Linked DNA regions of Pelodiscus sinensis. The protein of the gene in region 1 purifies or fractionates together with the protein of each later gene. This does not show direct contact. Links are inferred from orthologs where the notes say so. Each region holds a gene or a part of one and is shown in the gene's direction. Other genes may lie near its edges.

What was found.
Region 2: the proteins of MAP4K4 (region 1) and RAP2C purify together in Homo sapiens (affinity purification with mass spectrometry; 3 studies listed by BioGRID and IntAct, counting the BioPlex papers as one, with this or other methods). This does not show direct contact. The link is inferred for Pelodiscus sinensis from reciprocal best matches to the Homo sapiens genes MAP4K4 and RAP2C.

What each region holds. Positions count from the first base shown.
Region 1 is NC_134711.1:230,986,520-231,001,569, forward strand, and holds the start of MAP4K4 (mitogen-activated protein kinase kinase kinase kinase 4), read left to right. Parts: upstream 1-9,119; 5' UTR 9,120-10,016; coding exon 10,017-10,073; intron 10,074-10,535; coding exon 10,536-10,601; intron 10,602-15,050.
Region 2 is NC_134723.1:45,813,173-45,828,522, forward strand, and holds RAP2C (ras-related protein Rap-2c), read left to right. Parts: upstream 1-7,455; 5' UTR 7,456-7,646; coding exon 7,647-7,919; intron 7,920-10,830; coding exon 10,831-11,109; 3' UTR 11,110-11,149; downstream 11,150-15,350. UniProt on the Homo sapiens protein: Small GTP-binding protein which cycles between a GDP-bound inactive and a GTP-bound active form. May play a role in cytoskeletal rearrangements and regulate cell spreading through activation of the effector TNIK.

The sequences.
Region 1 (15,050 bases):
TGGGTACCCCGTAGCTCTTTTACCACAAGAGAGCTGGGAATAAAAACAGAAAACAAATTGCAATCTCTGATAGCTGACCTCTCAGTCTTAGGCATGCATACACAGACCTCCTATTACCTACCAGGAAAGAAGAATCAAATCATCACCTTAAAAAAAGGTGATTTTATTAACAAAACAAAAAGATATACTTGATAAGCATCCTTGGATGCTAGGTGTTACAGAGCAACTGAGAAAATAACAGATTAAAATACAGAGAAAATGGTATCTGTACTTAGCACGTGGACCTACCACAGAGAAGTTTAACCAAACAACAAACCAAAGAAAATAACCTGATTGGGACTAAATAGACATTTTCCTACCTACTTACAAGCTGTGCTTCAAGGTCCAGTCCATTTCCATGTCCAGTATTCCTTGTAAGCATGGTAGTTCTTCTTGGTTCAATTCATCTTGTTTCCCCAGCTCCTAGCTTAAAAACTCTCACAAAGAAAACAGCAAGCAAGTATATCTTTTCAATTCAAATTTCAACACCCTCTCCCATTGGCTCTTAGGGCTCCCTGCCAACATCCTCTCGCTACCTGAGTTTAACCCTTTAGTCATTGAATGCTGGCCAACCCTCCTCCTATCCATCACAATACCAGATTATGTGTAGGCACAAAGCATGGTTAGAGCCACTGTACATCAGAGTAGAAATGGGTATTCTCTATGGTATTACAGGTGCTTATGGATCACCATGGGTGTTTCACTGACATCAACACAGGATGGTCCAGAAAGATGCATGATGCAAGTATCTTCAGGAAAACCAGTGTGTACAGTAGTGTTTCTCAAAGTGGTCCACGAAACCACTTTGAGAATCCTACTAACTAGCCATTCTGGTGTATTTACTTATATGCACCGTGAACACAGAGCCCCGTGGCTCCCATTGACTCTGGTTCGCTGTTTGCACCCAAGGTGAGCTACAGGAAGAAGTGGCCCAGCCCACGCCTCTTCCCACGGCTCCCTTGGCTGCAAATGGCAAATGAGAGTCAATGGGAGCCGCAAGGCTCTGTGGCACACTGGCACAGCCAGTTAGCAGGTTTCTCAAAGTGGTTTGGTGGACTGGGAGGCCTAGTGTAACCCTTACACACATGGCTCATGAAGCTTTATACAGAAAAACTGGAGAAGAGCAAGGAGCTTTTCAACAATAGGCTGAGCAGGTGCAGAATGACCAGGGCTTTCCCAAGGAGCTGGCTGCCACCCCATGCTGCTGCCAGCATCCTGATAGCTTAAAAGGCAGGTTCCCGGTGCGCACCGGATCCCAGGAAGATGGCTGCTGCCCCATGTGTAAAATCTGTAGCAGTTACACAGTTACCAAATCACATGCATTTTTACATCCTGTGACAGGGTGTACCAGCCCCACATTGTGAAAGCTGAGCCTAATCAGGCCCACCTGGCTGAAGAAGCCCTGCCCCCAGCCCTGCTAGGCATGCTCAGACTACACACCAGGTATAAAAGCCTGGAGGGAGGCTCAGTTTGGGCTGGCTGCTGAGGGGTGTTGTAAAGCAGGCTTTTTCTGTCCACAGCCTTCGCGTATAGCCCATCCTGCCACACAAGGACCCTCACACAAAACCCAGATACTCAGAGGAGCATGGGAAGCACAATGCAGTTTTTGTGAATGGAATTTGACCTTACAGGCATCCTGAGACTCACAGGCATCATAAAATAGGGAGGTGAGCATTACTAGATAGCACCTAGCTGCATTTACAGATAAGCCTCATTTGACCGTAGCTTGACCGGTCTTAGGGGCAAGGGAAAAAGCAAACATAGAGTAATAAAACACAACTGTCTCACACTAACTATGCCCCATCTGGTCCTGTCCACGAGGGGATCACGCATACATCACGAAAATTCCTATAGGGCAGTATTGTCATACCACCTCATCACTAGCTTATCAGGCCCTGCCAAATGCAGACCCTAGCATGGCATTAGACATCGAATTTTTGTATAAAAGACCCTCTACCCCTTTGTTCGACGGAGGTTCCGTGTATTGAGGGCACGTGTCTTTTTTTTTTTTCCCGGCTAAAGGATTGATCACCCTGAGGCTGCCTCCCCACCCTTCGAGTCAAATATAGGGGTGCACGAGTCCTGAGCATGCTCCGAGTTCTAGTGTGTCTTTCTGTTGTTATCGTTTCTGGATTTGTAAGTATTGCTTAAATATATTGGTTATTAGTTTAATTAATAGTTAAATTGTGTTAATTTCACTGTGTAATTCTGTAAAGTGTATCTAAGTTCTGTTAACCACACTGTTTAAATTGTATAATTTTGTGTTGTATAGTAGTGTTGTATTTAGGCTAAGTATAAGTGTTAGAAATAGAAGCCACCGAGTTGTTAAGTTGTAAAAGTAGATTTATGACTAACTCCACCAGCTGTCCTAAAATAACCATAGAGGGGCGGGCTTTGGACGGAGTTTTTATTATCATTATATTGGCTTTGTTTTTGTATTTTTCGTTAAGCAAATTAGAGACAGTGATTTGGTATAGTTGAATTGTAATCAAAGAAGTTTGTAATTAGTTAAGTACAGCTAAGTTTAGAGTTTTCTACCCTGTAAAAGCATTGGGCAATTGCTAGTTTAAAAAAAACCATTTCCTAGTTGTTAGTTTTGATTAAAAAAAAAATCATTCCACTTAATAAAAATAATTTGTTTCACCATCATCCAGTAGTTTTCACTGGGTAGTCGGCTTTAACCCTTGAGGCTCCCATCACATCACCGAACCAAAGTGTAACAAGGGGGAAGGATGTGCTTCCTGAGCTCCTGCAGGTGAGCTCTCTGAGAAGCCAGACTGGGAGGCCAGCGAGCGGGGACCAGCCAGGGAGGCTTCCAGCCCAGAGGAGGAGGAGCAACAGGTGGATGCTGCAGCAGAGACTGGCCACAGAAGGGCCTGACCCAGAGGATGTAGGTGGGGAAGACGCCAGCAATCCTGACAGGGTAGGAAGTGGACCAGGGTGCGGAACTGAATTCCTGAGCTTAGTGTGTTTTGGGTGGAGCTAGTGGTGTGATGCACCCACCACTGACACGACCTGGTGGAGAGGGAGGGCCCGGGTCCCTCTACTCCACCTCCTTATTCCCCAAGGGGATGTTACACTTTCATTTCTGACTTGGATGCTAGGCTGCACTGCCTTGGTGAAGGGGGCATTGCTAGAGACTCCAGCTGCTAGGCCACACTGCCCTGGGTGAAGGGGGCATTGCTAGGGACTCTGGCTGTCAGGCCACATAGTCTTGGGGACAAGAGACTCTGGGATATAACTGTGTTGGGGTTGTAGAAGATGTGGGGTGTGGTGCCACGAGGCCCAGGGGCTCAACAGTGCCCCCGGTGAGGGACAGAAGAACTACCCTGCAACACATCCCTAGTTGGGTCATTCACAACTTTTTTTTAAAGCCTCTCTCATTTGCAGTGCCCCTTGATGTGCTGTCCTCAGTGTCCTGGTGTCTGGCTGCTCATAATTAGCAGATATGTAATCTACCTCAACCTACTCCCTGCCATGTACATTTCCCTCTTACACTCTCAAATATTATGGAGCACACAGCAGGCTACCATAACAATGGGAATGTTGCTTTTGCTGAGTTCTAACCTAATTAATAAACTGCAAAACCTTCCCTTTAAATGTCCAAAAGCACAATTCTGCACTTGCTCAGTCTGTAATTGGACTGCTCCTTATAGCTGTCCAGGATGCCTGTGTATGGCTTCATGAGCCGTGGAAGCAAGGGGTAGGCTGGCTCTCCACAGATCACTATTGGTATTTTAAAGTCTCCAATGGTAATTTTCTGGTCTGGGAATAAAGTTCAAACTTGCAGCTTTCTGAAGAGACTGGAGTTTCTAAAGATGCACCTGTCATACACGTTTTCCAACCACCCTATGTTGATGTCAATGAAACAGAACCTTGTGATGCACCAAAACTTGCAACACCATTGAGAAGTACCCCTTACAGTTTATGTACTCCTTGGCAAGGGGGTTAGGTGCCAAGATGGGTGTGTGTTCCATATATTGCTCCCCTGCAGCTAGGGAACCTCATTGCAGCAAAGCCATCTACTATGTCCTGCATGTTTCCCAGAGTCACTGTCCTTCATAGCAGAATAATATTGCTACTTGGATCACATCAGCCCCACATTGTAGATTTCCCTGCTATGAACTGATTCCCAGCTGACCAGTAGCTGTCTGACATTATAAGCTTCCAATAGCAAGAGCTATTACTACTTGCTTCTCAACTGTTAGAGTGGTATTTCTGTGCTTCAGGGAGCGGAAAAGGAATCTGCAAAGTTCCAGGAAAGTGGCCTTATGCATACAGAAGTTTTGCAGCCACTGCTGATAGTGATATAGCCAGGGTTCGACAATTAATGTAATGGGCGAGTAGATTTTAGCCTGGCACGGCCACGCAGCGTGGTCTGCGCATGCACAGCATGCGGTTCCGTGTGGCTGGTGAGCGGGGCTCGCCGCCGCTTGGCGAGCCCTGGATATAGCTATGGGACAACGTGGGCCTACTAGTCTATGCTTGTCTCAAGGCACCAGAATCAGCATTCCACTGTGTCAACAGGATCGAATGCTGCCAGCATCTGCTCATTGCTCCATTCAATGGTTTCATGCATGTTTGTGTTCATGTCCTCTTCGCATTCTTCTTTGTTCTGTCGGCTCCTTTCTAGGCCCTGGACACACGGCAGCATAAGGCGTGAGGTATCTGCAATGCTTGCCTCGGCTCTTTGCAGTTGAAAGGGGTCCATGGTTGCCTTACTATGGCATCTACACAGAAAACCAGGGAAAAAGGGGAGTGAAACAATCGTTTGCTATGGCTTTCAAGCAGGATGGGAGGGAGAAAAGTGCACCATGGGTAGCTGATGACACTACACTGTTTTTCTCCCATCAGACATTAGGAGCCTAACCCAGAATGCAAAGGGGGCAGCAATAACTGTGGGATGGCATCCCACAATGCATTGCTGTCAAAGTCAAAGGTGGCCACCCCACTGGGGATGCACTGTATTGAACTCTTGTGCATAGTGGGGACATGCACCTTCGAATTTACAAAATGGGGTGCTGAAAAAGTAAACAGACCTTAATAGATTCAACCTAATCTTGTAGTATAGACATGGCCTCAGACTTCTATAACTTATGCCGACTACAAAAATGCAGTCTAGGATCAATATGGTGTAGGGATGTGTCCTACCTTCAGCTCCTTTCCTGCAATTACATCACCCTTCTTTGGTATGCCGGTAGGAGGAGAATACATGTCATACTCTGGCATTAGAGAGTGGATGAGGTAATATCTTTTGCTGGACCAATTTATGTTGGTAAAAGAGAGAAGCTTTTGAACTGCTGTAAAATGTATTATCTCACCCACCTTGTCTCTCTACTATCCTGAGACCAGCATGGCTACCACTACGCAGCCTGGCTTTCCGCACAGCAGAATCATCTGTGCACTGAGATGATCCTCTCTGGGCTGTTCAAACCTTTTAAGCACAAATTTCACCACCAGCCCAGTGCAAAGTTGCTTCAAAGTACCTGAGGCTCTGGCTAGCCTGTGTTACTAATAACATCCTCACTTATTAGGATTTTAAAATCAAAAGCACTCTTCATGCTTTCTTGATTTTTTTGTACCTTTTGTATTTCAATTTGTTTGGACAGCAAAACCAGCCTAGTCAAGGTCATAGTCCTTGTATAGTCAATTTCACTCTCTGACTCTCATTCCCCAGCACAATGCTATTGTGTTTGACTTTCCATCACCCCAGGGAAAAATTTTATTTTAAAATAGCTTTAATTAAATGTAAAGAGTAATTCATGAAAGCATTTCTATTTGTATTCACCTCTCATTCATAAACAATAAATATTGGGCCTAAACAATTTGACAGTGACATTTGGGCATGGACCTATATGTTCCCCTCTGCTATTGTAACCAGAGGAGAGCAGAAGCTGGTGGAATAAGACCTAGAAAACATAGAAAGGAGCATTCTGGATCTGCATCATTCTCTTGTCTGACCTACAGTGACTTATGTTCTCCCCTCTGACCTACAGAAACCTACAGAGACACTTGGACTTCATGAGTCATTGGAAGATCAAAGTTAGTGACCTCTGCCAAAAGATGACTCCTCACTAAGCTTTCCTTTCCCTGGAATCTACCAGGATCTACTGTGCCTGAAGGCTGTGCCTCTTTTCTCATCCAGGAATTCCCAAGTATCTGAGCGGAGCATTCCAAGGAACCTTGTGGAGTTTCCTGAGCTGCTAAACCCCTTCCCAATGCTTCTCATTTTAATAGGACAGGGTTTGGCCTGTAATTTTCATCTGAAGGATTAGTTTTTTATGAAAAACCGGCTATGGCCATTACACAGGGAATAATTTTGGTGGTGGGGGAGAGGGGTTGAGAGGTGTGCACAGGGAGACCCTTCTTCCTGACCTAATGCAAGCCACACTCCTTCCTCTCCTTTCAACAGTGCTTTGTATGAAAGAAAGGGCTGGCTAGTTAACTAGTGGGCTTGAGTGAAAGAGATGTCCTTCTGGGAGGTCTTCTGGACTTGCAGGGGTTTACCAAAACTTAGACAAAACACAGGCTTGTTATGTGTAGGCTTAATGTGCAAACATTTCAGTAACTTTTTTTAAATTTTCCAATAGTGCTGACAAGGTATTAGGTGCTTTCTGCACAGAAAAGAAAACTCAGAGCCTTTTCCTAACGTTTTAGGCCCTATCTTGAGGAAGACTTACCTAAACACTAGAATCTGTCAGCTCTGTAGAACCTGTAAATCTGTGTATGCATTATGGCATAAAAGGACAAAGCACTCACAATGATGTAAATTAAGAAACCTCTTATCAATATGTTTGGGTAAAAATATACTTGTAAATTTTGCAAAATGTTGGGGCCTGATTCTGCCATTGAAATCCCATGGTAATCAATGGGCTTTTGCAAGGACCTTGAGTTCTGTATATGCAGTTATACTTCTATGATCCAGGCCTGTGTTTGCATAAAAAACATTTAAACTTTGAAGATACTTTAAAACTCTTACTCTTCAACAGGTTAATTTTGTTTTTTTCAATATTTCCATTTAAGAAAACTTAAAATTTACTATAAATGTAAATCAAATCCTTGAAACTATTTGTATGCAATATTATGGTTAACCTTTTAAAGGAAAATGAAGCAGGAAAACTGTGGGGTTGCTAACACGTGTAACTCTACCTTTTTGCAGATAGATAGCATTTTTTCTTGTATATAGTGACATTAACTTTTCTGTTTTGATATGGAAGAGAACTTAATTAAGAACCCAATCCTGAAAAAAAGTGTGCATGTATGACTTGTATAAGCAGTCCAAATGAAGTAAGCAACTCCTGTGAATAAATGTATGCCCATGCTGTCTGTCTTTCCAGGAACAAGATTTGTCAGTAAGGCATTCGTTAAAAACACCTTTATCCGATTGCAGGGTCTGATTCTGGAAGCTATTGTTTGCCTTAAACTTCTGATAAAGTCTTTGGGATGGAAATGGTTTTGAGGTGGCTTTAGCAGTTGGAAGGGCATCATCTCTATAGAGCAGGGGTCAGCAACCGATGGTTCATTAGCCTAATATGGCTCAGTATGGAACCAAACATGGCTCTTCTGTCATTCCCAAAACAGATGCAACTTCTAAAATTAAAATGAAAAATTAATTCCAAAATTTAAAAACCATGTTATTACTCTTTTCAAGATGGTCTTTTTTTGGAGTCTATTTCACCTTTAACCAGAGGTGAAAGTAAGGCGGTGTGCCCCAGTAAGAACCGGCTGCACTGTGGCAAAAGCCAATTGTGGGACTCTGCTCATTTAACAGGCCAGCTGAGGGCGCACTGGAGGGGACGCATGCACTCTCCCAGCCAGGATAGTGACAGGGGCTGTCAGTGGCAGATGCCTCCATCTTGGCTGCACTGGGGCAGACCCTGTGGCCCAGCCATGATGGCCCTGCAACTGCTGCAATAGCCTGGCTGCAATAGCCACGGCAGCCTGACCAACAACGCCCTATTTGGGGCTCAGCCCGCATCTGGCTGCAGCGGCCTGTGCCTAGCCCCGATCCTAGGGCAGGCCCAGCGGTCTGGCCCCCGTCTGGCTGCAGGAAGGGCTGGCAGCGGCCCCCCTCCTGCTGCAGCATGGGTAGTAGGGGATGCCACGATCTGGTTGTGGCGATACTGTTCCAGCCCCATATCCAGCCATTGCTGCCTATGTGCAGCAGCCCAGCCCAGCCCAGCCCAGCCCTGGCCAGGAAAGGTAATCCAGCCCCAAGGCTGCACCCCATACTCTACTTCCCTCCCCCAGCACCCTGACCTGCCTCTCCCACACCCTCCAGCCACCTCCCCTGAGCCCTTTATACACCCCATCCCTGACTCCTGCACCCTCACATCTGCAAACTGCACCCCCAGCAGCAGAAGTCCCATTAAATAAAGTCTATGAGTACATTTCATTTATGCTATAATTAATCATGTCAATTATCAATCATATTAAGTTGGATATTTTCAGTCATGCAAATGGGCATTCTTATGCTGCTCTTTGTTGACCACTTGTTCTCAATTTTAATGTAGTTTGACTCTGGTTTGAAAAGACTGCCGACCCCTGCACTGAAGCATGTTGGTCTCAGGGTAGATTAATACAGGATGATTTGTGTTTGTTTGTAACAACTCATTGCAATAGCCCTAGCTTTACCCTTTACTGACAATCAACTGGAGCCACATTATAGGCGAGGTAACAATGGTGATTTTGAGTAATTCCTTGTAGGGAACTATACGTTCCTAGGAATGTACTGGTAAGAGTGTTTAGTAGACCATGTTTCCCCAATACCCTTTGGTCACTTAATAAAAGTAGCATAAAAAACATTTTTACATTCTGTGCAACTCAGCTAAGCGCTGTGATCCCTATAACAACGCTGCTGGCAGCCCTCAAGGGGTAAATTAATTTCATCCTTCCATTATGCAGAAGCAGATATAGTAAGGCTGATGGAAAGGTGTCACTACAGCTTCTCCCTTCCATAGTGTTGTGCACGTTCAAAGTGCTGGGCAAACATGCTTATTCATCCTGATGTGTCCCTCAGAGCTGGACAATATCTGCGAGCCCTTTCAACCTTGATCTGGGAATTCCTCTGCTTTCCTCCTCCTTCGACTAGCCTTGGGGATTTGCTCTAGACGACGCTGGGCTGGGTCTCTGTGGCTAACACGCGTCTGGAGCGTGTATTGTTACCAGGGGGGTGGGGTGGTGTGATGTGTGTCTCCAGCCCTCGCCTGGGCAAGGCAGGGCAGCGCCCTGAGCGGCGCGGAGTGAGGCCGGACTTAGTTATCTATTGTTCTCTGCCACACCCCTGCTGAAGAGGGAGAGAGCCGCCGAGACACTCACACGCCGAGGCTGGGAGAGGAGCCGAGGATTTTTTTTTTTTCCCAGAAGTGCTTTGGGGTGTTGTGTGTTTCCGCTGGTTTTTCCTGCCGGAGAAGGAAAGGGGGAGCTGTTTGCTCTCTGCCCACGGTCTCTTTGGTGTCGCTTTTCTCCTCCTCCCGTGGTTATCTTTGTCTCACTCCCGCAACTCAGCCCAGCGCTGCAGGTCGGCACGGAAGCGCCCTGCCCAGTGCCTTGTGCCCGGGTGCCGGAGCCGGGCAGCCCCGGCGAGGAGCAGCAGCAGCAGCAGGGCGCCCGCGGACCGCTCCTTGGTAGCGCGCCGGGCGGGTGCGAGCGCCCTATGCCGGAGCGGGGCTGGCGGAGCGGCGCTGGCTGTGTAATGCCCGTGCCCGGGCGTGCAGGGCAGAGAGCGGCTGGGAGCTGCCAGCGCCGCCTCCCCATGGTGTAAATCCGCTGCCGACACACGCTCGCCCCAGCTGAAGCGAGCAGGGGAGGGGGAAACCCTCCCGACCCCAGCTCCCTCGCCGGGAGCCCGGCCAGCGCCCGCCGCTGCCTCTCGCCCCGTGCAGCAGGGGCTGGCGTGAGGCGGGCGCAGCAGCTCGTGCAGCCGCCCGGCGGGGCTTGGCAGCCCGGCGCGCACAGACACACGAAGAGCAGGGAAGATGGCGAACGATTCTCCGGCGAAAAGTCTGGTGGACATCGACCTTTCCTCCCTGCGGGTGAGTGCGGGCGCCGGGCTGCCTCCGCCGCCCACCCCGGGGGCAGCGCTCTGGCGGGGCTTTGTTAGGGCGAGCCCGGAGCGCGGCGGGGCTGGGTGGGGGCCGAGGAGTGGCGGGGCTTTGCTCCCAGCTTGGGGGGGCAGCTGCCGCCCGGGAGGGACACTGCTGGCCGGCCGGCCTGCTTGCTGCTGGCCCGCCCCCCCCGGAGTGGGAGCTCCTTGGGGGTGCGCGCGCGCGTGTGTGTGTGGGGAGAGGGGGGAGAGTTCAGCCCTGAGCTGCTTTCCTTTGTTTGCATGTATTGGCATGTGCGTGGAAAAAACAGGGCGCAACAGCTGCACCGCCAACATCCTCTCTCGCTCCAGACCCTGTTTTACAAGACTCTCTCTGCCATGAGCCAGCGCCTTGCAAAAAATGTAACCCTCCTTCTCTCCCCCACCCCATCCCCCCTCTTGTATCTTGTAGGACCCAGCTGGGATTTTTGAGCTGGTGGAAGTAGTTGGTAATGGCACATATGGGCAAGTCTACAAGGTTTGTGTCAATTTCTCTTCTATCTCTCTTTGCACAACACCTACTCCCCTGCTTTGTTTACTGTACATCTGAGGGCAGGGCCCCCTAGGCTGCACACAAAAGTTAAGAACAATACAAAAAAATCTCTTCTGGACAGAGCAGCTAACGTCTACCTTTTCAGTTGACACTACTGGGATTCAGAAAGGGGGAACAAATGACTTCAGAGTTACCTCTTCTGACTGGGTCTATGATCTTCCTGGTTTATTTTATAAAATGAACAAAGCAAATGATTGCTCCAAGTATACTGTGCTGATAAGGGTCCATATAAGTAGACATGTGCTCATTGAAAAATCAGAAGGATTCTAATGGCAGACACTGTTTCTGTGTTTAAACAAAGCATTGACTTCACTTAAAATTGTGACCAGTTTGCCTTGCTGAAAACGTTCAGAATTCTTAAGATGCAAAGTCCAGGCTAAGTGGTGTGGCATCATTTCCTGCTGGGGAGAGGGCATAAGTGATAGGGGGGCAACCAAAGTAGGACAGATTTATTTGTCTGGAGATAAATTCAGCATTCCGAGAATAACCTGTTTGACAAGTGGATGATTTGGGGGGTGGGGGGTAGCCAAAGAGGATAGTGAGAAGTAAGATATTGCTCATGTGGGTGTGAAACAGCTCTACTCTGTACAGTGTTTAGTAAGTGGAAAAAGTAAATCTGAGATTGCATGACTTTGTAAGGAGCAGCAGTTATGAGTGATTAATAGTGAATAGCCATACAGTATAGTAAATGGGGTAAGGATTGAAGAAGTCAGTAATTGTTCATGTTCAGATGCAAGGGATTGGAGGGAGAGTAATTGGAAATAACAGAACATTGTTTTCTCTTATTAGTAAGACAATTTACCATCATTACATGGCTAAATAAGCTGTTTGGTGTGTCTTCGATTAACAAAATGCATTTAGGTTTGTTTTAAAAGGGTGAATGTTAGTCTCATTGATTGAGAGACAGCATGTGTCTCCTTGCTATACAAGTTAAATTTTAATAGTAGAAATGAAGTAATTTGGCTGTCTCTGTGTGCCAAAGTTGGAAAACCATATGGCTCAACAGGCCTGAGTAAGATAGGAAGATTGATTGGAGGCTGACCTTTGACATCTCCCTCAGGCTAACCCATTTAATAATTATTTTCTGTCATCTTCCTGCCCACAAAGCTTGCATCACCTGAGCCCTCCTTAAAAGAAAAAGTAGGGTGTGTGTGTGACTGTAAACTCCCTTTGTAATTATTGCAGTTGGCACATTGTTAGCTGACTTACCTGATAATACTTTTAAGTTAATTAGTGTGCTCATTGTTGGGTTAACTGACAATGGATGCAAATTTTTCATTTTGTTTAAGTATCCTAGAATACTCTTGGCAACCTGTTTTAAAAAACTAAGCTGAACAAATATGTATATGAATTTGAAACAATAGAAAATTATACCAGATTTAAGTGGCAGTCACTTTACTCCGATGACACACAAGCTAACGTTTGTCTGAGCTCTGGCTTCTGCATAACAAGTGTTATTTTTTTCTGTATTAAAAAGAGATATAATATCTCTCCCTCCCCCCCAGTAATTGTTTTGGGAAAAGGTGATTGGGTACTGCAGTCTAGAAGTTATTTAAATGCTGCTTTGTTATAGAAGGAAACCTCTCTGACACTAGATGGTGTTTGACTAAGTGGGGTGGTACTGTATGTAGTCCTAGTATAGCCACACCACACTTGTCCAAAACATGCCATAGGGCTTTTTTTTTTAAATATAAACAATGGTGTCATTCTGAGATTTTTGTGCAGTTGAGTTTTCAGTGTGAAGAGAATGCAACATAGAGCCCTAAATTAATATTTTATTTCCTCCTGGTTTTACTGTTGGTTCTTTTTTTTTTTTTTTTTTTTAAATCCAGTGTCATTCAAAGATGAGTGTGATTTTTTTTTTTTAAATAAAAAGTTTTGACTTTTTTGGAAAATAAGCGATTAACTGAACAGTAAATGGTATGGTGAGCTTTCGTGGGCACAATCCACTCATGATACCATCTGTAATTTTTTTTTTTTTTAGTCTCTAAGATGCTGCAGGACTAATCATTGTTTTTCAATGACAGAGTAACACGGCTACCCCTCTGACACTAACTGAACAGTGTGTGCCCCTGTTTTCCTCAGCTCCATCCTTGTAATATGTTGATGTTTATAGTTTTTACTTTTTGACTGCAAATGGTTGTAGTACATGCCTTGATGCCAGAAAATTGTATTTCCATTTGACAAACAATGGGTAGAAGTTTTCAGACATGGCTGTTTTGATTTATTTCCTTGTTTGTGTGTTGCCGTCACTGACATGCCATCCCAACCAGAGGGATATGGTTGTCTGGCTTTCTGTGGCTGCAGAGACTACCCCAAGGCAGTGTATTTTGTTGTCTTTTTGTCTAGCTTATAAACACATACATGACTGTTTATGCTGATTGCCTTTCTAGGGATCTTCATTCATTTCAGACTGGGGAGGGGACAGGGATAGACGTATCTGTCAGTCTCTTCCCTTCTCAACCTCAGCAGTGCTCTTTTGGAACATTTCCCTGCATGTAAGAAAATAAGCCCAAGGGGTGTGGTTTTTTTTTTAAGAGCACCTAAAATTAGGCCCCTAAACCATGTTGTAGGTGCCTATATAAACTCCAGTCCTGAAATGAGCAGCACATGTTCAGAGCCTTCACCCGCATGCAGCCACATGGACTTTGGTGGATCTTTGTGGTGTCACACTGCCTGCTAACTTTGGAGCCAAAGAGCTTCCAGCTGCTCCTTTTGAAATCAGCAGCTTCCCCCATTTTTCTTCTTTCTTTCATAGCTTTGCTTATGCCTCTGCATTGCCCTGGGGAGACTCAGTTTGCACTTAAGAAAAGCATGTGATGCAAAGGTGAATAGGAAAAAACTGTGCATGAGATTCAGTGCACTGTTTGTGACTAAGATGGAAATTCTTTGGCAATTGTATATTTAGTAGAGGGTGATTAGTTAATTGATTAGTATTTGTCACAGAGTCTAAAAGATTAACAGTCCCTCAAAAGATAACTTCATAGCTGAAGGAAAGAAAAATTCAACTTGTCTAGAAGTTGAGTGTTTTTTGAAATATAAAAAGAATAATAAGAAATCCCTGAATGAAGGTGTTCTGAGTGAATGGTATTTGTTCTAGTTGAGGGAGAAAAGAGTTAACATTTATGAGACACGGTGAGGAGAGTTAGCCTCTGAATTACCATGGACGTATGTAGATAACTATTAGGCCTTTTGCTTAAAAAATAATACACATTTTAGAGAGCAAAAATTCTTATGATTTTGAGAGAGGAGTTTCTCTTTAACAGGTTGATATCAGCTGATCTTGAGCTAAATGGCATGTAGAGACTTGCCCACAAGCATATATTCCCTTCTTGCACAAAAAAAGTTTGAATGGTTTGATGTAATTGTTGAGAAAATTTACCCTGTGTTTGCCTTGTTTATATTTTGGAGCCTTCAATACCTTTTTTGTAAAAAAACAATAGAAAAATGTAGTTATTGAAGTTACTGAGTGTTACCAGGGTTTCTACTCTTTATTTAACTACTATTGTACACTCACAGGGAATTACCCAAATGGCATGGAATTTAGCAGGAAAATGGTGTTATCGGGGTTGGTTTTGTTCTGTCTTTTGAAACAATGAAGCCTTCATATAGTGTGGCCTCTGGTCCTTAACTCAGTCCAACTTTATCAGAGTACTTAAGTGTAGCTCTAATTTAGTCACTGATTTGGCAACACGTGTCTTTAGAATTCTGGAGATCATTTGCAAATATTGCAGGAGCAGTTTTGCACTTCTGTAATTAAAATTTTTTTCCCCACATCGCAATTGTAAATCTTACATTAAAGGGTAACATTCACCCCAAATGAAAATGTTCACCATATTTCATCTGAGAGCTTTAAGTCTGGTAGCAAACTCTGTTTATTGATTTGGTAAAACATACAGAAACAGGGCTATGTAACTTAAGAATATTCCTTGACCCTTCAAGAATCTTATTAATTTCAGATCCGTTTAAACACATTGTTTATAGATACATACTCTATAAATTAACTTCAATGGGAAATGCATGTAGAGTACGATAATGTGATTTTTCTCTTGCACTTTTAAAAAAGATAACAAAGATATCAACATCTTAAAGATTTTGTTCATTGGTGTCACTTTTCTCTTTCACACATGTATTTTGAGACCTCATATTTCTTTAGTTCCTAGGGGGAGAAGGGTCCCTGGTAGGTTAGAGACATAATGGAGCAGTGCTAGGAAGCTCAAAATTAGGGATGAAAGTTCTAATTACCCTTATTTCATGCTGGTGTTGCTTTCTAAGAGCCTTGTGAGAGTTAATTCATAGTGAAGGCTTCTTTTGTTGAATTCTGTCACAGTCTTCCAAACTGCATGTAAATGATTCATATTGTCTAACTTCTGG
Region 2 (15,350 bases), on another chromosome or scaffold:
AAAAGGGACAGAGTTTTAGTTCAAAGTGGAAGTGGGAGCTTTGTGATTAATTTTTTTCCAGTCAGTTCCTCTGAGGGATGGGAGGGAACACTTGTATTTTCATACTGACATGTACAGGAGAAGTGCTTTGTCTGGGAAATCCCACTGTTTGACAAACAATGTCTAATACTGTAATTTGGCTGTCTTTGTTGAAGGTCATTTCTGCAGATTTTCAGTCATCAGTTACTTTTTTTACTATCCTTTACTGACACCTAGCGTCTCTTGAGCTCATGTCCTCTAAGACAATGAGTAAACTAGGAGAGCAAGAAAAGTAACAAAATTCAAGTAATCAAACCAATAATTTCCTAGAGCCATAGGACACTAGTCTCTGTTTCACGATATTCTGTATCAGTTCTGTAAGACTTTTCATACAAAAATCAACAGCAAATAAAGCTAAAGAGTCAAGTCTCAGCACTGTGATAAGAACCTATTCACACAACTAACACGTCCCTTGGGGAGCAAGTTCTAATCAGTGCAAACTGAATATATAGAATTTCTTTTAATGAAATTGGCTACATATTGCTTGTGTAGACATGACCAAACCAGTTTTAAGTATGCTATCCTATCAGGTGATATCCCTTCCTACGGAGTTAATAAGAATTGTTTCCCTTCAACCTTATCCTTTTTGTTACATGGTGAGTTAATAGCTCCTGACTGAGATTAAAGCCAGTGCAGGTATAGATTCACAGATCTGCCTACCTTAGAATCATAGAATCATAGGGCTGGCAGAGACCTCAGGAGTCATCGGGTCCAGCCCCCTGCCCAAAGCAGGACCAACCCCAATTCAATCAGCCCAGCCAGGGCTTTGTCAAGCCGAGACTTAAAAACCTCTAGGGACGGAGATTCCACCCCCTCCCTACGGAACCCATCCCAGTGCTTCCCCACCCTCCTAGGGAAATAGTTTTTCCTAATATCCAAATTAGACCTTCCCCACTGTAACTTGAGACCATTGCTCCTTGTTCTGCCATCTGTCACTACTGAGAACAGTCTCTCTATCTCCTTTGGAACCTCCTTTCAGGTAGTTGAAGGCTGCTATCAAATCCCCCCTCACTCTTCTATTCTGCAGACTAAATAAGGCCAAATCCCCCAGCCTCTCCTTGTAGGTCATGTGTTTCAGCCCCCTCATCATTTTGGTTGCCCTCCACTGGACCCTCTCCAATGCATCCACATTCTTTTTATAGTGGGAGGCCCAGAACTGGATGCAATACTCCAGGGGCAGATGTGGCCTCACCAGTGCCAAATAAAGGGGAATAATCACTTCTCTAGATCTGCTGGCAGTGCTACTCCTAATGCAACCTAATATGCCATTAGCCTTCTTGGCTACAAGGACACACTGTTGACTCATATCCAGCTTCTCATCCACTGTAATCCTCAGGTCCTTTTCTGCTGAACTGCTACTTAGCCAGTTGGTCCTCACTCTGTAACAATACTTGGGATTCTTCCATTCCAAGTGTAGGACTCTGCACTTGGCCTTGTTGAACCTCATCAGATTTCTTTTGGCCCAATCCTCTAATCTTTCTAGGTCACTCTGGACCCTATTTCTGCCCTCCAGCATATCTACCTCTCCCCTTAGCTTAGTGTCATCCGCAGACTTTCTGAGAGTGCAATCCATCCCCTCATCAATTAATGAAGATGTTGAACAAAATGCGTCCTTAAACCAATCCTTGGGGTACTCCACTTGAAACCGACCACCAACCTGACATCGAGATGTTGATCACTACCCGTTGGGCCCAACAGTCTAGCCAGTTTTCTATCCACCTTACAGTCCATTTATCCAATCCATACTTCATTACCTTAACTTGCTGGCAAGAATATTGTGGGAGATCATATCAAAAGCTTTGCTAAAGTCAAGGTATATCACATCCACCGCCTTCCCCATGTCCACAGAGCCAAGTACCTCCTCATAGAAGCTAATCAGATTGGTCAGGCATGACTTGCCCTTAGTGAATCCATGTTGACTGTTCCTGATCACTTTCCTTTTTTCCAAATGCTTCAAAATTGATTCCTTGAGGATCTCCTCCATGATTTTTCCGGGGTCTGAGGTAAGGCTGACTGGTCTATAGTTCTCTGGATTATCCTTCTTCCCTTTTTTAAAGATGGGCACTACATTTGCCTTTTTCCTATCATCCAGGATCTCTCCCGATCTCCACGAGTTTTCAAAGATAATGGCCAAAGACTCTGCAATGACATTTGCCGACTCCCTCAGTACCCTTGGATGCATTAAGTCTGGACCTATGGATTTGTGTATGTCTAAATAGTTCCTAACCTGTTCTTTCCCCCACCAAGGGCTGTCCACCTCCTTCCCATACTGCATTGCCTAGTGCAGTAGTCTGAGAGCTGCCCTTGTCTGTGAAGATAGAGACCAAAAAAAGCATTGAGTCCTTCAGCTTTTCCCACATCATTTGTCACATACCTCCCTCATCCAGTAAGGGTCCCACACTCCCTCTGATCACCCTCTTATTGCTAACATGCCTGTAGAAACCTTTCTTGATACCCTTCATATCCCTTGCCAGCTGCAATTCCATGAGATACAATTTCATGAGAGTATCGGTGGTGTCGCAGGTGAACATAAATATGGGGTTTAAAAGTTTTCTAATCCTGTTGCATGAAAATTGTGAGGGGGTGTAGCCATCTACAATCAGATTTCCATAGAGATATGGGTACATAATTTTTAATGTGACAAAGAGTATTATACCTTCAGAGAAGGCCTGATCCAATTTCCACTGATGTCAATAAGAGCCTTTCTCCTGTGGCTGGGAGATGAATTAGAATGAGAGAGCACCTAGCCCAGGGGCGGGAAACAAAATGGCAGCTCACCAGGGTTAATCCCTGGTGGGTCACTGCCACTATATTTACCTGCACCTCCACAGACATGGGCACTTGCTGCTCCCATTGGCCAGGAACAGCAAACTGTGGCCAATGGGAGTTGTACTCCCTGTACCTGTGGAGGTGCAGGAAAATATAGTGGGGTGGGGGCCCACCAGGGGCTAACCCTGGCAGACCAGATCTGGCCCACAGGCTGGTATTTGCCCACCCTTGATCTAAGCACACTGCTGTAGCCGTCAGTCATTCATTGTGTCCTGCAGAGGTGTGGAGACTGTTTGAGGGGTGCAGAGCTGTGTGGTATGCTTTTGGCATTCAGTCTTTTCTGGACAGCAATATGTGGCCCCTTGTGGGGAAAGGGAGGTGTGTTCAACCAGTAATAAAGAGGCAGGATGGGTTTACCAGTAACAAGCACTGAATGTGATTTCTGTTTGTGTGATGCTTTTTGCCTGAAGTTTGAGGGGGAAATGGGGAAGGGCACAGTCCTTTTGACAGCATGAGGAAGAAGGAGGCAGGCAGGATAAGCATCAGCAGGAAGAGGGCATGTGTAATGCTGAGTAGAAGGGGTGAGGCATGAGAGCGCAGCCCTTCCTAGGTTTTGGCATCATGCCCGCAATTTGCCACGCAATCAGAGCTTCACTGAACTACCCGGAGAGCAGATGGGAGTGATTGGGCTCTACCCCTCTTTTGGCTGAGGGCTGTGTCTGCATCACAGGCTTTGGAGTCCCCCTTCAAGGTAGGAGGAGATGTCAATGTTACATAGTTGGGAGTTCTCCTCAGCAAGTTGTGGGAGGCACTCAAAAGGAGAGCTGGTGGTGAAACACTAGTTCATGAAACCTGAAATGTCTATGAAAGCAAGTCCAGCCCAACAAAACTTTTGTTGAATCAGAGGCAGGTTTCCAACAGTTCAGTTCCCCTAGCAGGTTGGTGGGAACTCTGGCTTTTTGGGGTCCACATCTCCAAGTCAACCATGCCACATGAACTTCCTCACGGTGACCCTGAGTTTGCAAAGCTGCATCTCCAGGGCAACACTGCCATGTCAGGGCTTCCAGCCTCCCTGCCATGCAGGCAGAAGCTGGAATGCCCAGGGGCAGCAGTTGGCTCTTCTTGGTGCTGTTCTCAGATCCACATCTGACAGCCTGGAAGCTCAAAGAACCCTGGATAGGTGCCCACCATGTCTCAAAGCTCAGTGCCCAAGTGGGCAGCCTAAGAGCCAGCTGGACTAGGAATCTGGAAACCTTATGATCCCCAGCCATTGATGCATAGACCCTCGAGTCCTAGGAGCCGGCTGAAAGTGATAAGTCTTGTGGATCCATAAAGCTGACCAGAATGTCCATTTCAGTCTGTATCACAAATTTCCGTGAGCAAAACCCACTTAATCAGATGAGCTGGGGTGGATGAGGTGGGTTTTGACCAGGAAAGCTCATGATACTGTATATTTTTGTTAGTCTCTAAGGTGCCACAGAACTATTTAGTCTGAACAACAACATGGTTATCCCTCTGAGACATTTCAGTCTGGGGCAGTGGGTGCAGGGGAGTATGTTTCATTGTGGAAATGCCAACTTGGTATTTCCAAGGTGACACTTTTTCAGCATTTCTGGTTTGCAAGAAATGTTGCAATATCAAAATGTATCATGATCTGGACGAATCTTAGTTTCACCCAACCAATCTTAGTCTCCCTCTTTCTCCAATGGTTTGGTTTAAGTGGGATTAAAAAAAAATACAGGCCAGGACTCTACCTGAATCTTGAATCTCTACCTGAGTTATCATAGAATCCTAGACTACTAGAACTGGAAGGGACCTTGAGGAGTCATTAAGTACAGTCCCCTGCCCTCACAGCAGAACCAAGCATTATCTAGATCATCTCTGCCAGATGTCTAGATAACCTGCACTTAAATATCTCCGGTGAGATTCCACAACCTTCCAGTGTTTAACCACCCTGATAGGCAGTAAGTTTTTCCTGATGTCCAACCTAAACCTCCCTTGCTGCAATTTAAGCCCATTGCTTCTTGTCCTATTACCAGAGGCCAAGGAGAACATTTTTTCTCCCTCCTCCTTGTAACACCCTTTTAGGTACTTGAAAACTGCTATCATGTTCCATTCTCAGTCTTCTCTTTTCCAAACTAAACAAACCCAGTTCTTTCAGTCTTCCCTCCTAGTTCATGTTATCTAGACCTTTAATCATTTTTGTTGCTTTTCTCTAGACCTTCTCTCATTTCTCCACATCTTTTTCAAAATGTAGTGCCCAGAACTGGACACAATACTCCAACTGAGGCCTAATCAGCACAGAGTAGAGGAGAAGAATTACTTCTCATATCTTGTTCACAACACACCTGTTAAAGCCTCCCAGAATCATGTTTGCTTTTATTGCCAGTGTCACACTGTTGACTCATGTTTAGAAAGTATGGCAAGTGACCACCTTGACTTAACCATGAGATCTTACATGATCTAAAAATGAAAAAGGTGTCATATAAAGAGTGGAAACTGGGTCAAATTACAAAGGATGAATATAAGCAAATAGCACAAGAATGTAGGGGCAAGATTAGAAAGACGAAGGCACAAAATGAGATTAATCTTGCCATACTTTCTATCTTTCCTGTGTAGTGGAATAGTTTGCTTTTGGGCCCTTAATAATGTTCCTTTGAAAAACTGTCAACTGTCTTGTTCTTCCTTACTCTTGCTTCTCATGGGACTTTATCTACCAGCTCCCTGAGTTTGCTAAAATCTGCCTTCCTGAAATCCATTGTCTTTCCTTTGCTGTTCTCCCTTTTACCATTCCTTAGAATCATGAACTCTGTGATTTCATGATCATTTTCACCCATGCTGCCTTCCACTTTCAAATTTTCAACCAGTTCCTCATTTGTTAAAATCAAATCTGGAACAGCTTCCCCCCAGTGGCTTTCTCAAAAAGTTGTTTCCAATGCACTCCAAGAACTTTTAGATAATCTGTGCCGCGCTGTGCTAGTTTCCCAGCATCCATCTGACTATCTGAAATCCCCCATCATCACCAAATCCAGTGCTTTGGATGATTTTGTTAGTTGTTTTAAAAAAAAGTCTCATCCACCTCTTCTGTGGGGGTAGCTGGTCTGTAGTAGATCCTGTAGTAAAGTTTTTAAGAGGCTGGTGTCTCTGCTTGAAAGGTTTCCCTGGGGGCCAGGAGTGCTGGACTCTGTCCCTGAATGCTGTCTCCCCTTCCAGGTGCCAGACTGAGCTGGGGCCCGGCTCCTGGGAGTTGGGGGAGACACAGGCCCAGGCAGTGGGGAAGAAGAGCCCGAGCTGAGAGGACACAGGATGGGGCTGCCCCTACCCCCGACTGCTCCACCACAGCTCAGCCCTGGACCCGGGGCTGTTTCCTCAGGTGGCAGCAGAGCTGTGTGGCATGGCCCGGAGCTAGGGATTGGGGGCTCGGGGGGAGGGCGCTGTCACCTCCCCATAGTGGGGGCCCTCCCCGTGGGCGAGAGGTGGGGGTCACACGATTAGGGGCCCCCCTCAGGTGGGTGGGGGAGGGGCGCTGTCATCATACTGGGAGCCCCCAGGCTGGGGGCGGGGCGGTGTCGCCGCGTTCGGGGTCCCCCCTGAGGCGAGTGGGGGCGGGGCGGTGTCACATCGTTCGGGGTCCCCCCTGAGGCGGGTGGGGGCGGGGCGGTGTCACATCGTTGGGGGTCCCCCCTGAGGCGGGTGGGGGCGGGGCGGTGTCGCCGCGTTCGGGGTCCCCCCTGAGGCGGGTGAGGGCGGGGCGGTGTCACCGCGTTCGGGGTCCCCCCTGAGGCGGGTGGGGGCGGGGCGGTGTCGCCGCGTTCGGGGTCCCCCCTGAGGCGGGTGAGGGCGGGGCGGTGTCACCGCGTTCGGGGTCCCCCCTGAGGCGGGTGGGGGCGGGGCGGTGTCACATCGTTCGGGGTCCCCCCTGAGGCGGGTGAGGGCGGGGCGGTGTCACATCGTTCGGGGTCCCCCCTGAGACGGGTGGGGGCGGGGCGGTGTCACCGCGTTCGGGGTCCCCCCTGAGGCGGGTGAGGGCGGGGCGGTGTCACATCGTTCGGGGTCCCCCTGAGGCGGGTGGGGGCGGGGCGGTGTCACATCGTTCGGGGTTCCCCTGAGGCGGGTGAGGGCGGGGCGGTGTCACCGCGTTCGGGGTCCCCCCTGAGACGGGTGGGGGCGGGGCGGTGTCACCGCGTTCGGGGTCCCCCCTGAGACGGGTGGGGGCGGGGCGGTGTCACCGCGTTCGGGGTCCCCCCTGAGGCGGGTGAGGGCGGGGCGGTGTCACATCGTTCGGGGTCCCCCTGAGGCGGGTGGGGGCGGGGCGGTGTCACATCGTTCGGGGTTCCCCTGAGGCGGGTGAGGGCGGGGCGGTGTCACGTCGTTCGGGGTCCCCCCTGAGGCGGGTGGGGGCGGGGCGGTGTCACATCGTTCGGGGTCCCCCCTGAGGCGGGTGAGGGCGGGGCGGTGTCACATCGTTCGGGGTCCCCCCTGAGGCGGGTGGGGGCGGGGCGGTGTCCCCGCGTTCGGGGACCCCCTGAGGCGGGTGGGGGCGGGGCGGTGTCCCCGCGTTCGGGGTCCCCCCTGAGGCGGGTGGGGGCGGGGCGGTGTCCCCGCGCTCGGGGTCCCCCTCCGACAGGGCTGGGGGCGGGGCGGTGTCGCCGCGGCCGGAAGTGCGCGGTGTAACCCTTCCGGGCGGTCCGCCCCCCAGCAGCCGCGGGCCGGGCCATGGCGCGAGGCCGCGCCGGCCGTTAGCGACCCCCCCCCCCCCCCAGCGGCCCGGCGCAGCGCGCCCGCCGCGGCCCGGCCCCATGAGGGAGTACAAGGTGGTGGTGCTGGGCTCGGGCGGGGTGGGCAAGTCCGCCCTCACCGTGCAGTTCGTCACCGGCACCTTCATCGAGAAGTACGACCCCACCATCGAGGACTTCTACCGCAAGGAGATCGAGGTGGACTCGTCGCCCTCCGTGCTGGAGATCCTGGACACGGCGGGCACCGAGCAGTTCGCCTCCATGCGGGACCTCTACATCAAGAACGGCCAGGGCTTCATCCTGGTCTACAGCCTGGTCAACCAGCAGAGCTTCCAGGTGAGCCCCGGGGGTGACCCGCCAGAGGGGGACTGGCCAGCTGGCTAGCGCAGCCCCCTGTGGAGAGCCACCGCCCGCACCAGAGTGCTGCCAGTGGGACACTTCATTCACCCCAGCAGGCTCCTGCTGCTGTCCCTTCCCCTCCCGCTCATCAGCTCAGTGGGATTCACCCAGGAAAGCCTATGCCCTCATCCGTCAGTGAGTCTGTGAGGTGCCACCGGACGCCTGGCGGGTTTGGCTGGAACGGACTCCCTGCCCACTGTGTCCTCAGGCTAGCCTCCTCCCCCCAAAAGCAATGTTTCAGCAGGAGCAAAGCCCAATTCGCATTCACATGGGTGGCCGTGTTAGTCAGTTTCCACAAAACCAACCAGGAGTCCTGTGGCACTTTACAGACTATGGGCGGGTCAGCATGATGCCAGAAATTAGACTTAAAGTACACGACTTCAGATATGAGAATTGCAGGGATGGAGTCTACATACCCTAAACCGAATTTCTGGGGCGGTCCCAGTGCAGGAGGTCAATGGGAGAAACTCTCCCGTCAACTGTTTGTGACCCCAAGGGGTTGCCATCACCGTTCAGTAGCAGGTCCTTACTAGAGCCGCTAAATCGAACCCGAGAAGATCGATCGCCAGTGTTTGCTCTCCATGTAAGTATAGACAAGGCCTCCCAAATTAATTTTGGCATAAGCTTATGTGGGCTGGAGCCCACTTTGTCAGATGCCAACAAAAGCTTATGCCCAAAACAATATATTTATCTTTAAGGTTCCGCTGGACTCCTCCTCCATTTTTTTTTACAATTTATATTGTTAATATCAAAAGCACATTAAGAGGGAGGTGCCTTCTTTTTGCTGTTTTGTACACTCTTAGTATAGATGGGGAAAATTACCAAGCATTAGGTGGATGCTACAATACAGAGGTAGCAACACTATTCTCATTGGACTCTTGTAAATAAAGCATATGTCTGAAGTCATCTTTAAAAATAAATGTTTGTAAAATCCAAATTTGGGGTTAGATTTGACCCGTGTCCTTTTGAACACTGCTTTTTTAAAAGGAATATTTTGGCAGTTAATCTCATAAGGGTGGCTGAGTGCCTGCTTTCTGAACTGAACTTGCTATCTTATAACTTGTGAATTTTGCTAATAAACCCTGATATTTTTCTCTCTGTATAACAAGCTGCCATCAAGTGTTAGCTTGATGCTCACACAGTGTGGGCGGTGTGTTCATGAAAAAGACAGGTCACATGTGAAAATTAAATTCACAATGCACAAATTTGTACTGCAAAAACTGACAAGAAGCAGAAAAATCCCACAATCTAAGTGGCCTAAATTGTTTCTGGTAATAAGCAGCTTCCATCTGTGGGAAATAACTGGACTTGGCAACACTGTAAGTGCAGAGATGTGGATGTTGTTTGTTGGCTTCACTTAGGTTCCTTGACCTGGGTGTAGTCCAGCTGCTTGGCACAATCTTTTATACCCTCCATTTAGGCAGAATGTTTCTGCTGAAGGCTGAATGTTATCTTAGACGAGGGTACATACCTAGATAAATTGTGTGCAAGTTAGGGATTTATTTTCTTTGCAAAGGAACTACAATCATGCTGGGATGTTTCTCCCCAGTTTTATTTGACCTAGGAGTGGGGAAGTTTCCCTCAAAGCACATAGTTAAGAAAAAAAAATGAAGCGTGGATGAATATATTCCACTTCAGTCACTTGGTTTTTTTTTTCTTTAGCACATTTAATCAAAACAGTGTAGGTGTAAATCTCCCTATGAAGTTCTGTTAACAGTGGCTGCCTCAAGCACTTAATTATTTCTGTCCCAGAATCTTGCACGAAATTATACACTTTTTTTATTGTAACAAATTAAAATCTTAAATCTGATGTGGTGGAGGCAATGGAGCTATTGTTTCAAAAGTACAGCTTACAAATGTCTTTTCCCTTTTCACCTTTGGGAAGATTATTGGGATTCACATGTCTTGATTGTATCTAAATTTGTCATTTAGGCAGAACCAACTGTATGTGTGTTCACAGTGAACACTTTTAAGCAAGCTACTTAAAAGTAGCTTGGGGGAGACGATAGCGCGTTAAACATTTAATTAACTTTCTCAGGCAGAAGACTGGCCACAAGTTTCCCATCTAAGTGATCGCATAACATAGATGCGTATTGTAGACTTCAGTTTCCGTCATGAGTTTAAAGGCAAGCTTCTCTTTTTGCAGCAAATCTTGCTGACGACCAGAAAATTGATTCAGTTGTTCAAAACGTGTAACTTACACAAAATCTGCTTTTATCTTAACTAGAGCTGGGCAAGGAAACTGGTCACCCAGCCCATGAAAACACTTGAGATGTCAGTGTTTCCGGTTCTTAATCAGAATGAAACTGAGACCTTTTTGAAACTTTCCACAGAAAATTATACCCACCCTAGGGAGTTCACCTGGGATGGTGAGTGCTCTAACCACCAGGCCATTCTGGGTGTGGCCGAAAATGACTTTCTGGACCTAAGAAATCTTCTTAACGAGTTCAGGTTTTGACAAATTTGCATTTTTCAATGGAAAACTGTTTTGTCAATTCCTGACTGTCTCTAGTAATAACCAAAAGGTTTTTGAGGTAATTTTGCATTGCAGTAGTGCTTTTTCTAAACACACAGGAAGCGCAATGAAGCATAGGCATTACAAATGGAAGATAAATGTCTGAATTTGACGCACCCTAGTCTAAATCCAAGGTATCAATTTAGGAATTTTTCCTAAGCTTTTATGTTTATTTTCAGTTACACATAAGACCTGTGGCTTGTTAAAACACATGTTTTTACAGTGATCTGTTTCCTGAAACCAGTGTTAATTTTTACAGCAATCAAATGTGATTACTGTTTTAAAATGTGATTAGTATAATAAGTGTATTAACCAGTTGGATTGTTTAATCAGGATATCAAGCCAATGAGGGACCAGATTGTTCGAGTGAAGAGATATGAAAAAGTCCCCCTAATCCTAGTCGGGAACAAAGTGGATCTGGAATCTGAGAGGGAGGTCTTATCTGCAGAAGGCAGAGCTTTGGCTCAGGAGTGGGGCTGTCCTTTCATGGAAACATCAGCCAAGAGTAAAACCATGGTGGATGAACTGTTTGCCGAGATCGTTAGGCAAATGAACTATGCGTCCCTTCCTGAAAAACAAGATCAGTGTTGTACAACTTGCATTGTCCAGTGAGAAAATAAAGAAAAACCTCAGTCATGGCCATACAGAGCAGGTGGGTTGAATACTCATAATTCATTAAGATGATTAATTGTTGTGTTTGAAGGAGCAGATGAAAGTGTTTAAGGCATTGGCTTATGGGAGTTCCTGTAATGTCCATTTTATTACTAACTTCTGTATGCTGGTTTCACTTTTGATAATTGCTGTGATGTCTGGTGAAAGTCGGGAGTTGGCTCTCTGTGCTGGACACTTCAGGGCCTGAAAAAGAAATGATGAGGTTTATTTAATCTGGTCAGAGAAGCCATTCAGAATGAATGAATTTGGTGAACTCCACGTACAGGCCCCTCCAACACCCCTCTCAACATACAAATAACCTTTGGACTAAAGGCTGGAGAGAAGTGGTAACACTGGTTTCCAAATAAATCACGTTGAAGTTGGGGATTGTATTGGTTTGTAATTTGTTTATATTTAAAATAGTTGAATTGTAGTTGAAAGTAGTGACCGTATTTTGAGTTGAAAAAAATATATATGGGGGGGGTCTTGCATTCTAGCTGAAAAAACTGAAAAGGTGGAGTTTTGTAGAGACGCGCAGCCTGGTCACTCACTTGCACGACTGGTTGACCTTCAAAGGCCATGGGTCAGTTTCCCTCTCTAGCACTGCTGCTTGTGTATATATAAAGACAGGCAACAGTGTTGTATAATGAGTACCGCTGCGTTCCTCATGGCGGCTGTGACTCAGCAACCTTGTGGGAAAGAGGTCAGGACATAATCCCTGGGAAAATTGTCGTAGTCCAAGAGTCTCTCTTGGAGGAGGAAGAATAGGGAAGATATTGTACTTGAAGCTGAAGGTTGTCTGTACACATCAATATCAAGAGAGGGGATACAGGGAACTCTCCATTAATTAAGATGTATTGAATTTATGAAGCAGTTTGTGGGTGTGAAATACCTATATGACCCCTGCTACTTAGTATCTCAATCTTTAATGTACTGATGGCCTTACAACACTCCTGTGAGGTGAGGCAGTATCACTGTCCCCATTTCACAGATGAGCAGCCAAGGCACAGAAAGGCTGACTTGCTCACAGTTATATGGGACGTCTGGTGCAGCAGAAAATTGAACTGAGGTGCTTGGTTAGTCCCCTGACCACTGAACTGATAGAGCAGTACTGCTATGACTAGAGAAGCGACAGAACGTTGCCTTTTATTTGACTCAGAATGCTGCGAGGTTAGTTTTATTTTAAGAATACCAGTGAGAGTAAAACCAAACCAGATGTCAGCTAGTCACATGACTATTTCTCATGTGAGTTCCAGGCAAATTAACCCTCAGCAGTAGCAGCAGCTTCTTTCTTCTGGCACAGTGATATGGATCACAGCCTGAGAATCACTGTTCTGTTCTGTTCTATTCTATTCTATTCTATTCTATTCTATTCTATTCTATTCTAGAGTCCCAGCATCGTATTTCCTTTTTAAAAATCTTTACTGCACGCTGATCTGGTCTGTGACAGCCACCTCTCTTCCCAGAATCTGTTCACTTTAGAACCCAGCAATATGTATGATTTGTTCAGCTAGTGCACACTGGAAGGAATTATCTTGCATTTGTCAACACTGAATCACATCTCTCCTGCTGTCTGCTCACCTGTCCAGGCTTTTCTGGTGAGCACATGGTGATGGATGGACATCACTGAGTTAGTTCCCTCTGAACTTTGAACACCTTTTGCCTTGACTAAACTAAAATGTCACTTGCAAATTTTAGTCAGTTTCTGATCATCCATAACACAATTTACTTCATCACTCTGTGACATCTTGGTTTCCTTAGCACCCTCTAGTGAGAAATTTCATCTAAGACCAAATTATCTGCTGTTCTTCAAACATCATCAACGTAGTAGATAAAGAGTTCTAGTGTAAAAAAAGAGAGCCAGAATTTTCTTTCGCAGAAGCCATTCTGGTTTGTCCTTTCACATCATGTTCTCAAACAGTTTCTTTAACTTTTGTTTCAATCCCTTCATGTGACAGTTATTGGGTTCCCCAATTTTCTAATATCCCATCACACCCAGTGTTAAGAAGACGTGGTTTGCATCCGTCCCCCATTCCTTAATTTAGTAGCAAAATTTAATAAACTTATTCCTGATTAGTAGTTTGATCGCTTTATTTTTAAATTCCTTTAGCAGTCTTTTTAGACAAATATCTAGTTTTTATGTGTTACCTTTTAATTTATCAACTTGTTGCTAGGGGTGTTAAAATGCATGTTGTTAAATAACCGGGTCACTGTGTAAAATTTCAGTGGTTACATGTGGGGCGACGGGCGGCTCCCTGGGACCCAGCTTTTAAGCTGTCTCCCCACACTGTGTGAAACTGTGAACATTAACCAATTAGCCCAGGCTTATTGGTTAATTGTTTTCATGGTTAAACTTTCACATCTCTACTTGTAGCCCTTGCTCTTTTCATTCCTCAATTTGATAATCTCTTTCCCTGAAAATTCCTTGAAATATGTAACAACATTCAGTATCTTTGGTAGTGGAATAATTTATCTGCGTGAACCAGCTTGTATCCTGAATTGGTACAATACTTTCTGATGAGTGATCTCCACAGTGACTCTTGATCAGTCCTCTGCCTCTCCTTGTGCTTGGATAACCTGACACCAGTAGGAGCTTTGTGCATATCCAGATGTGAGGGGAAAGCATCTTACTGAAGTTTGAATTTGCAAGTGTCCACTTTTATTCTCCTTGAGGACAGTAGTCCTCTGGCTGATGCAGCTTTGCAAAACTGTCAGGCTCTCACAACTTGCCTTTGCTATGCAGATCTTAGAAAATCTTAATGGTTCTATTTGCTCATTAAATGACTGGTACTTTGTAAATACTGTATCAGGGCTTTTCTCCATCCATGTGCAGAATCCGTTATGTGCATGGACGTGTGCTGTTGTGCACCACCAAAGAAACAGAAGCTCTCCTGGGCGGGTATGCATGTGCGCAGCTTACAGGGGACACCGCTCTGGAGCCCTGTCTATGCTAGGGCTGCTTTCTGAAAACCTCCCTCTGGGGCTATCAGCACTTCAGCTCTTGGCATCAGGAGCCCTATTTGTAAATGGCTCATAACTGGCATTCTTAGCGTGTCCTGTGTCCCTGCTCAGAGCCGGTCCAACAGATAGCAGTACGGTTCTCAGCATTGCGAAAAGGAGTTGTAAGCAACAGTAAGGAACCGTCTGGAAAACTTTCCTAATGAAGATCGAGGCTGGGTGCCAGCACTTGCCTGATTCACTTTTTTTAGTCCCTGGGCGGAGTAAACTTTCAACTCCAAAAGAGCCCTGCTGTTAATGTTGGTCACTTGAGTTTCCTTGCAAGTTGAGCTGTTAAAGCTCGGAACAGAAAACTCTGTATCACTTTCCTATTATAGAACGCAGTCTCTGATGTGTTTTCTTCTTTTGCAACTGTCAGATGAATTGATAAAGGAAATTTGAAAGGTCATGACACCCTAGAGAGAAACATCATTCAAAACAGGAAACACTTTTTCATGTTGAAAATGCCATGAAAACTTCAAATAGTATTTTCCTGTTGTGTTATACGATAGATTGTTTCCTGGATCCTTTCAAAGGAAGGCTCAGTCTCTGTAACTGTGACTGTATTTTTAAGACTTTTCTTTCTAAGACATTAAATAGAATCCTTGAATTGTAGACTGGAAAGGACCTTGAGAGGTCTCCTAGTCCAGTCCCCTGCACTCATGGCAGGACTAAGAATTATCTAGACCACCCCAACAGGTGGTTGTCTAAATTACAGGTCATCAGGGCTACAAAGACATAGCAGTTAGGTGTTGGATATTATGGAATTGCTGGCTGCATCTCTTGCATTGACAGAATTATTAGACTCTGTTTGTACTTGTGACACAGACAAGCTACGCATGTACTCCTACGTACAAAGAAACAGCCTAATCTCTGATGGTTTATGAGCTTTTTTTAAGTATTGCTCAGAGGGTCCTAGTATTGAAAATGAGATGGTTTCAACTTTCTGGTATACGGCCTCTCTAACATCACTGGAATAAGTACCATGTTGTGATACTGTGCAGCCTTTCTGCTGGGGAAATGAACAAGCTAGTGCTTCCTGTTTGGCAGTGTTTACTCCTGAGGGAATTCTGTGCACAGTATTTTAAAATACTGCATATTTTATTTGTCAAAATGACACAACATAATTATGACAGTTTTAGTTATTTTGGTAATTTGTTTCAAAATACCAGTCAGTAAGTATATCTGTAAAAATACATACCACA